Oryctolagus cuniculus: one gene and its partner. The protein of the gene in region 1 interacts with the protein of each later gene in a pairwise test. Links are inferred from orthologs where the notes say so. Each region holds a gene or a part of one and is shown in the gene's direction. Other genes may lie near its edges.

Region 1 (3,473 bases):
CAGGAAAGGCCGGGCAAGGCTCCTTCCTCAAGGGCCGGGCGGTCAGGCCCTGCTGAGAGGCGCCGAAAGAGCACTGGGCGGACACGACATTCCCGATGGCTTCCTGGGTGCCCACTCAACGGGAGTGATCGTGTCATTCCAAAGCGCTTTCCATGCCGAGAGCTCACGACTCACAGGCAGCGACCGGCGAGGCTGGGGGCCCAGGATCGAACCGGGGACTTCAGTTACTCTCCGTCCACAAAGACGGTTGGGGTGGTTTCTCCCCAGGAAGTGGAGGGCTATCTTTAGTGAGCTGCGGGCTGAGGCGGCCCTGGGGGACTCACCAGGGCCACTCACTCATCCCTCTTCCTTGCAAGGCCTAACCGGAGGCCCCAGCCCCAGCTCTCCCGCTTCTAGCCCGCACCCGAGAGACGGACGGAGACCAGGGCCCCCCAGCGCGGTGTGTCTGGGGGGTGTCAGGGGCTACCCAACCTGGGCCTGGGCGCTGCTCAGGCAGGAAAGCAGGGAACGAAATCCAAGCGCAGCTGGAATGCTCTGGAGACAACAGCTGCTTTTGGGATTCCGTTGCCCGCTGTCCAGCCGTTGGAGTGGGGCTCCTGCCCCCAGGTCACTCACCCTAGGGCCAATCCAGAACCCGCCCATCCTACGTCCCAGGAGGCGGACCTGGGAGACAGTGAAACCGAGTCCAGTGGGAACGAGGCGCTCACCTGGGCCCCAGAACAATAGCAGGGAAGGACCGGGCCTCCCCTGGGATCGGGTCCCGATCCGGATTAGATCCGAGGGCAGGATTAGCCCTGTTGGTCCCACGCAGCCCGGGGCCACTGGTGCGGTGACGCCGGGAGGGCGGGTTTCAGAATCTGCCAAGAGGGAAGCGCGGGGCCAGGGAGGAAGTGAGCCCGCGCGTCCGCCTTGGGGACACCCCCGCGCTCGGGGCCCTTTGTCCGGTGACGCTGCCAGCGCCCAGGAGCGCCAGGAGCCGACCGGGCCCACACAGCGATGGCGGGACCCCCGGCAGGCCACTGCGACCGCTCCTGGGACTCTCGCCGCCCAGGCCCCTACTGTGCCGACCCTCTCCCGCCCGCCCGGCCGGCCGGCCCCACGGCTAGCGAACGCGACAAGGTTCCCCCGAGGCTAAGACGGAGCCGGCGCGCGGAGATGCCCAAACCCGGCGCGGGCGCCACCACTCGCTCCTGTAGGCCCTTGATGCGGATCGAGACGGGGTGCGGGGCAACCTCGGGAAGCGAGCGGAGTGAGCGAGGACACGACGATGCTCCGGGCGCTGTCTAGTTCAAGTCTGGTCCGGCTCGGCCCGGCCGCTCCCCACCGAGCAGGCTCAGCAACACTAAAACGCCGTGCCCTTCCGCTGGCTCCGGCTGCCCCGCAGACTTGGAGCCATTTTATGGCGAAACTGCCTGGCCACGCCCCCTCGCGCTCTCGCGAAGCCAATCCCCGCGCGGCCACGCCCCCCGCAGCGTGCGGCGCCGCCGCTAACGGTCGCGCGGGTGACGGTTGGGGAGGGGCGTGGCTGCGAGTCTGGCCGGGGAAACCTGAGCCGTCCGCCCCGCCCACGGAGCCGGGCGCCCCAGAACCTGAGATTAGGGGCTTGGAGGTTGGCGCCACGCCCTGGCCAGGTGTGCAGGACCCGGCCAGGTGCGGCCCCGCCCCGCTCCGGGTCCCCGGAGCCCTGCGTCATGTCTGAGAGCCCGCACTACCAGGTGCCCGCACTCCCCTGGGACCGGCGGCCGGGGCGACAGGTGCGGACACGAGAGCCGCGCCGGGGACACGTGACGCCGGCGAGGGGGGCTGGCAGAGCCGCGACGCGCCCTCCGGACCGCAGGAGGCGCTGTAGTCTCGGCGGACCAGGCCTCGCCGCGACCCCAGCGGTCCTGCGTCCGACCCGCTCGCGGCGTGCGGGGCAGCCATGGCCGCCGCTGTCGCGCTGCGCTGCCTGTCCCGAGTGAAACCCACGCCGCGCTGTCCGCTGCCATGGTGAGCCCAGGCCCCACGCCCCCGAGCACGCTGCCCGCCAGGGCCAGCGGCCCCCTGACCCTCCGCCTCCGCAGGGCACCGCGGCGTGGGCACCGGCTCTCGCCGGCGGATGACGAGTTGTATCAGCGGACGCGCATCTCTCTGCTGCAGCGCGAGTCCCCGCACGTCATGTACATCGACAGCTACAGCAGCCGCGGCTTCACGGTCAACGGCAACCGCGTGCTCGGACCGTGCGCGCTGCTCCCGCACTCGGTGGTGCAGTGGAACGTGAGCCTTGCCCCGCACGCCCGCCGGTGTCCCTGGCTAACTGGGCTCGTCCCTGTGGCCCCGGAGTGGAGCTGGGGAGAGAGGGAGGCTGCGGCTTCGTCTGTCCTGAACCCGCCTCCTCCCCGCACAGGTGGGATCCCACCAGGACATCACTGAAGAGAGCTTCTCCCTCTTCTGGATGCTGGAGCCCCGGATAGGTACGGGGGGAGGGGGGGTGCGGAGGTCTGAGCGCTCCGAGCCCCCGGAAAGCCACCCGCACCCCAGCTTCACAGCAGACCCGGTTGTGGACGAGCCACGCCCTGCCTTCCCTAGAGATTGTGGTGGTGGGGACCGGAAACCGGACCGAGCGGCTGCAGCCCGAGGTACTGCGAGCCATGAGGCGGCGGGGCATCGCCGTGGAGGTGCAGGACACGGTGAGTGCCGGCCCCGGGGCGCGCTGCGGCGGGGCTCGGGCCTTGCCCTGGCCAGGCTGATGCCGGCCTTTTCTCTACAGCCCAATGCCTGCGCTACTTTCAACTTCCTGTGTCACGAAGGCCGGGTGACGGGAGCCGCTCTCATCCCCCCGCCTGGAGAGACTTCTGTGCTGCCTCTGGGCCAAGCTGCAGAGTGAACCGCCGGGAACCGAAGCACCTCCCCTCCCCGAGGGCCCTGGTCCTCCCCCTTCGGCACTAAAGCCCTTGATTTGCTTGCTAGCGTATGAGTAATTTATACCCCCATTTTGTATCAGGTGTGTTGCTGGCCAGGGATCGATGGCTACGTGGGTTTCAGTTGGCGTGTGTGTGAGGAAACCGGAGGCTAGAAGGCCTTGTTTTGTTCTAGACCTTTTAAAAAAGAGCTTATTTGAAAGGCAGAATCAGGGAGAGGCGTAGTCCATCCGCTGGTTCACTCCTCAAATGACTGGAAGGGCCAGGGCTGGGCCCCACTGAAGCCAGGTGCCCAGATCTCCATCCAGGTCCCCAGCACTGGTGGAGGGACAGCGCTCCCAGGCACATCAACATGACAGAAGAACAGCGTGCATCATGGGACGCCTGCGTGACAGGCAGCAACTTGACCTGCTGCAAGGCCTCTGCAGATCTGAGGGGAGGGACCCCAGTGGCTTTGTGTTCAAGATCCTTCCGGCTCCAGAGCTGCCAGGGAACGCCCTTTAAGATCTTTGAGGAAATTTATTAAGGCCTGATACATGGGGGTCCCTGGACGGGAGGGTGTCCCATGTACCT
Region 2 (4,200 bases), on another chromosome or scaffold:
ATTTAATAATTACTTCTGTTTTCTTAAAACTGTCTCTTTGATTCTTATTTTTTCACTGCTTTGACTCAATTATCTCTCTTTTTAAAAGATATTTATTTATTTGAAAGGCAGAGAGAAAGAGAAAGAGAGAGAGAGAGAAGAGAGAGAGAGAGAGAGAGAGTATGAATGAAGCCAGGAACTAAGAAATCCATCCAGGTCTCTTACATGGGTGGCAGGGGCCCAGTACTTGGGCCATCTTCCACTGCTTTCCCAGGCGCATTAGAAGTTGGTTGGGAAGTGGAGCAGCCAAAACTTGAAATGGGGCTCTGATAGGGCATGCTGGCATTGGAAGCAGCAACTTAATCTGCTGTGCCCCAATGCTGGTCCCGATTCAATTAACATCAATTCTCTTCTCACTTTAAATTGGCCAAAAACAATCCATCTACCTTATTTCATGAAGCAGAGCTGAGAATACCAAAACCAGGTTTTGTTTTGCTATTCTCAAATACCAAATATTTTAACTTTAGATACACTACTGCTTTCTTCCTGGTGGATTTCTTTTATTGTGGATTAATCACAATATTTCCCAAGAATCTTAAATAAAAGCAGCACTATTGTACCAGAAATGGAAAGGAGAGAAAGAAATGGATGGATAGAGGGAAGGACACACACACACATACACACACACAGAGAGAGAGAGAGAGAGAGAGAGAGAGAATATGAATCTAACACTCAGTTTTCCCTAGCCCTGTACGGGCTGTTTCTTTCATTAAGTTACACAGAGTTCTCCCAGAAGTACATAAAATGAGAGAGGCAGACGAAAGAAGAAACATTGGAGAAAAATTAGGAGACTCAGTATTTAATAGTATGGAGAAATAAATTAGTAACAAAAATACAGAGGGCAAAGAAAACATACACTAAAATCAATAGCTTTAGGTCAAATGAGTTATGAGAGTAGGATGTGAAATCTAATGGAAAAAGGGAATATGGTGGCTGGAAATGCATCAGGCAACGGGACAGGAAATGAAGAATGGCCCAGAATATTCATCAAGAATGAATATCCCTACATTATTTTTCTTCAAAATCAATTTCCTCATGACTTTGATTTTCAGTTCTTGACTGCAATATTGGAATCACGTGGGAAATCCTAACTAACGCCAGGGCTCAATGTGAGAGTTAAATAAGTTAAATAAATAAATAAATCTGAGAGTTATAAGTCTGGAGTGGTGCCTAGCATGAAATTGTGTTTTATCTTCTTCCGTGACTCCACGGGCTCCAACGTTGAAAACCTGGCCTTAGGCCCCACCCCCGAGTGTCCCGGGGAGGAGCCACTCCCTTTGAAACGATGGAGCCTGAAACGCGCTGTGTGGCCTCCAGACCACGAGAGGGCGATGAGCGCACATTTAGCACTCGCTTCCCGGCCCGCTCGACGCTATACGTGCGCATGCTCCGTGCGCTCCAGAGGTCGTCCGCGCCGGTGTTTTCCCACGTGCGCAGTGAAGCTAAGGACATCATGTCCTAAAGAGATGGGGGCTCAGGTGGTTCGGGCGATCAGGAATTTCAACCTGGAGAACCGAGCGGAACGGGAAATCAGCAAGATGAAGCCCTCTCCCGCTCCCAAGCACCCCTCCACCAAGAGTCTTCTCAGAGAACACTTGAGCCGTGAGTGGCGCGGGGGCGCGTCGGGGCGCGGGGTCCCGGTGCGGCCGGCCGGGCTGTTCCGCCCGGGGACCTGGATCCGCAGGTCCGCCTGCTCGGCCACAGCGGCTCGGGTGGGCAGGGCGCGGGACGGTGGAGGCGCCGGGTCGGTGACATTGACGCTGTCCTCGCCCGGGGGCGGGAGACCGGCGAGGACAGTCCCTGGCCGGCCTTGGTGGTTCATGCGTGGCGACTGGGTACAGAGAATCCAAGGGAGCAGGGGGCCGCGTGCAGCCAGGTCTGCTGCAGGTGTCTTCCCAGAACGAAGGACGCCGGGCCCTGAGGGCCTAGTGTTTTGACGTCGATTTAAAAGGTTTCCTGAACTGCCCAAAGATTGTTTATTAAAAAGAAGTTGAAGTGACTGTTTTGTGTGCTTTTAGAATCTGAGGGAGTTCTCGCCTTTCATATATTGTGACTTTTCCTTCTCTTTCCACCCAGACCATCCAGAAATTAAGGGAGAAATTGCTAGAAAAGATGACAAGCTGCTGTCGTTACTAAAAGATGTGTATGTTGATTCCACAGATCCTGTGACTACCGTGCAGGTAATGTGTATTTAAAAAATTATTTGAAATGTAAATGTTTAGTTTTTACCTTCCGATGTGATTTGTAGATACAATTCTAAGAACTGAATGGTATTCCCCTCTTACTCTCTCCCTCCTTTCCTTTCTCCTTCTCTTTTTAGTTTTGAGATGACATTTTAAAATTACATTACAGTAAACAGTCTTAATACTTCACCAAATAAGTTTAACAAGTAAAAAGCAGAAAGACCCCAGTTTAGTAGGAATATAGACAATAGTTATAAACAATAATGGAAACATGACCATTTTACCCATTTACAGTAAATTTTAAGGTAATCACAGATCATTAAAACTGTAGTAGTATATAGAATTCTTAACCACTGGTTTGACAAAGGCATAAAACAAAGCTTTACAAAACTGTTTGCAACAATACTGATACACACATTTTTAAAAAAATGTAGCGCCCACATAAAAGGGAAAACATGCGGTATTTGTCTTTCTGGGTCCAGTTTATTTCACTCAACCTAATGTCCTCCAGTTGAGTCCATTTTGCTGCAGATGGTAGACTTTCATTCTGTTTTACGGCTGAATAATATTCCATTGTGTGTGTGTGTGTGTGTGTGTGTATACACATATACCACATTTTCTTTGTCCATTCATCTGATGATGGACACCTTAGTGGGTTCCAAATGCTGGCTGTTGTGGACAGCGCTGTGATAAACATGGTGGTGCAGGTATTACTGATACATTGTGTTCAGTCTTTTGGCTATAAGTCCAGTAGTGGGATTGCTGGATCATATGGCAGTTGTATTTCTAGTTTTTTAAGAAATCTCCACACTGTTTTTCACAAGGGCTGCACTAGTTGACATTCCCACCAGCAGTGTATAAGTTGTTCCCTTTTCTCCACATCCTCGCCACCATTTGTTATTGTCTTTTGGACTATAGCCTTTCTGGACAGGGGTTAGGTGATGTCTCATTGTGGTTTTGATTTTCATTTCTTTGATGGCTAGTGATGTTGAGCATTTTTCGTATATTTGTTGGTCAGTTGTGTTTCTTCTTTTGAGAACTATTGAAGTCCTTTGCCCATTTCATAACTGGATTGGTTGGTTTTTTGTTGTTGAGTTTTTAAGGTTGTTGATATGTTGGGGATATTAATTGTTTGTCAGACAGGTAGTTTGCATATATCTTTCCCACTCTGTTGAATGTGGCTTCACTCTATTGATCATTTCCTTTGCTGTGTATAAACTTTTTTTTTTTTTTTTTTTTTATCTTTTATTTAATGAATATAAATTTCCAAAGTACGACTCATGGGTTACAATGGCTTCCCCCCCCATACCGTCCCTCCCACCAACAACCCTCCCCTTTCCCACTCCCTCTCCCCTTCCATTCACATCAAGATTCATTTTCGATTATCTTAATATACAGAAGATCAGCTTAGTATACCTTAAGTAAGTATTTCAACAGTTTGCTCCCACACAGAAACATAAAGTGAAAAATAATAGATGATTTTTTTTAAATGATGATGAAATCAGATCAGACCTATTGTCATGTTTAATCCCAGTGAGAGTCAAGTTGGGAATTGAAAATTTCTTTCTTTTTTTTTTTTTTTTTTTTTTTTTTTTTTTTTTTTTACAGAAGATCAGTTTAGTGTACATTAAGTAAAGATTTCAGTCGTTTGCACCCCCATAGAAACACAAAGTGAAATATACTGTTTGAGTACTCGTTATAGCATTAAGCCTCAGTGTACAGCACGTTAAGGACCGAGATCCTACATGAGGAGTAAGTGCACAGTGACTCCTGTTGTTGACTTTACCAATTGACACTCCTGTTTATGGCATCAGTAATCTCCCTATGCACCAGTCATGAGTTTCCAAGGCTATGGAAGCCCCTTGAGTTCTCCGACTCTTATCTTGTTTAGACACGGTCATAGTCAAAGTGGAGGTTCTCTCCTCCCTTCAGAGAAAGGCACCTCCCTCTTTGAAGACCTGTTCTTTCCACTGGGATC

Evidence for each region. The genes of interacting proteins can lie anywhere in the genome.
Region 2: the proteins of NDUFAF3 (region 1) and NDUFAF4 interact in binary tests that used the Homo sapiens proteins (3 or more experiments, as listed by UniProt). The two-hybrid records come from large-scale screens. The link is inferred for Oryctolagus cuniculus from reciprocal best matches to the Homo sapiens genes NDUFAF3 and NDUFAF4.

What each region holds. Positions count from the first base shown.
Region 1 is NC_091441.1:100,132,543-100,136,015, reverse strand, and holds NDUFAF3 (NADH dehydrogenase [ubiquinone] 1 alpha subcomplex assembly factor 3), read left to right. Parts: upstream 1-1,500; 5' UTR 1,501-1,921; coding exon 1,922-1,989; intron 1,990-2,063; coding exon 2,064-2,256; intron 2,257-2,386; coding exon 2,387-2,453; intron 2,454-2,568; coding exon 2,569-2,669; intron 2,670-2,749; coding exon 2,750-2,866; 3' UTR 2,867-2,948; downstream 2,949-3,473. UniProt on the Homo sapiens protein: Essential factor for the assembly of mitochondrial NADH:ubiquinone oxidoreductase complex (complex I).
Region 2 is NC_091436.1:75,154,943-75,159,142, forward strand, and holds the start of NDUFAF4 (NADH dehydrogenase [ubiquinone] 1 alpha subcomplex assembly factor 4), read left to right. Parts: upstream 1-1,393; 5' UTR 1,394-1,505; coding exon 1,506-1,641; intron 1,642-2,115; coding exon 2,116-2,219; intron 2,220-4,200. UniProt on the Homo sapiens protein: Involved in the assembly of mitochondrial NADH:ubiquinone oxidoreductase complex (complex I). May be involved in cell proliferation and survival of hormone-dependent tumor cells. May be a regulator of breast tumor cell invasion.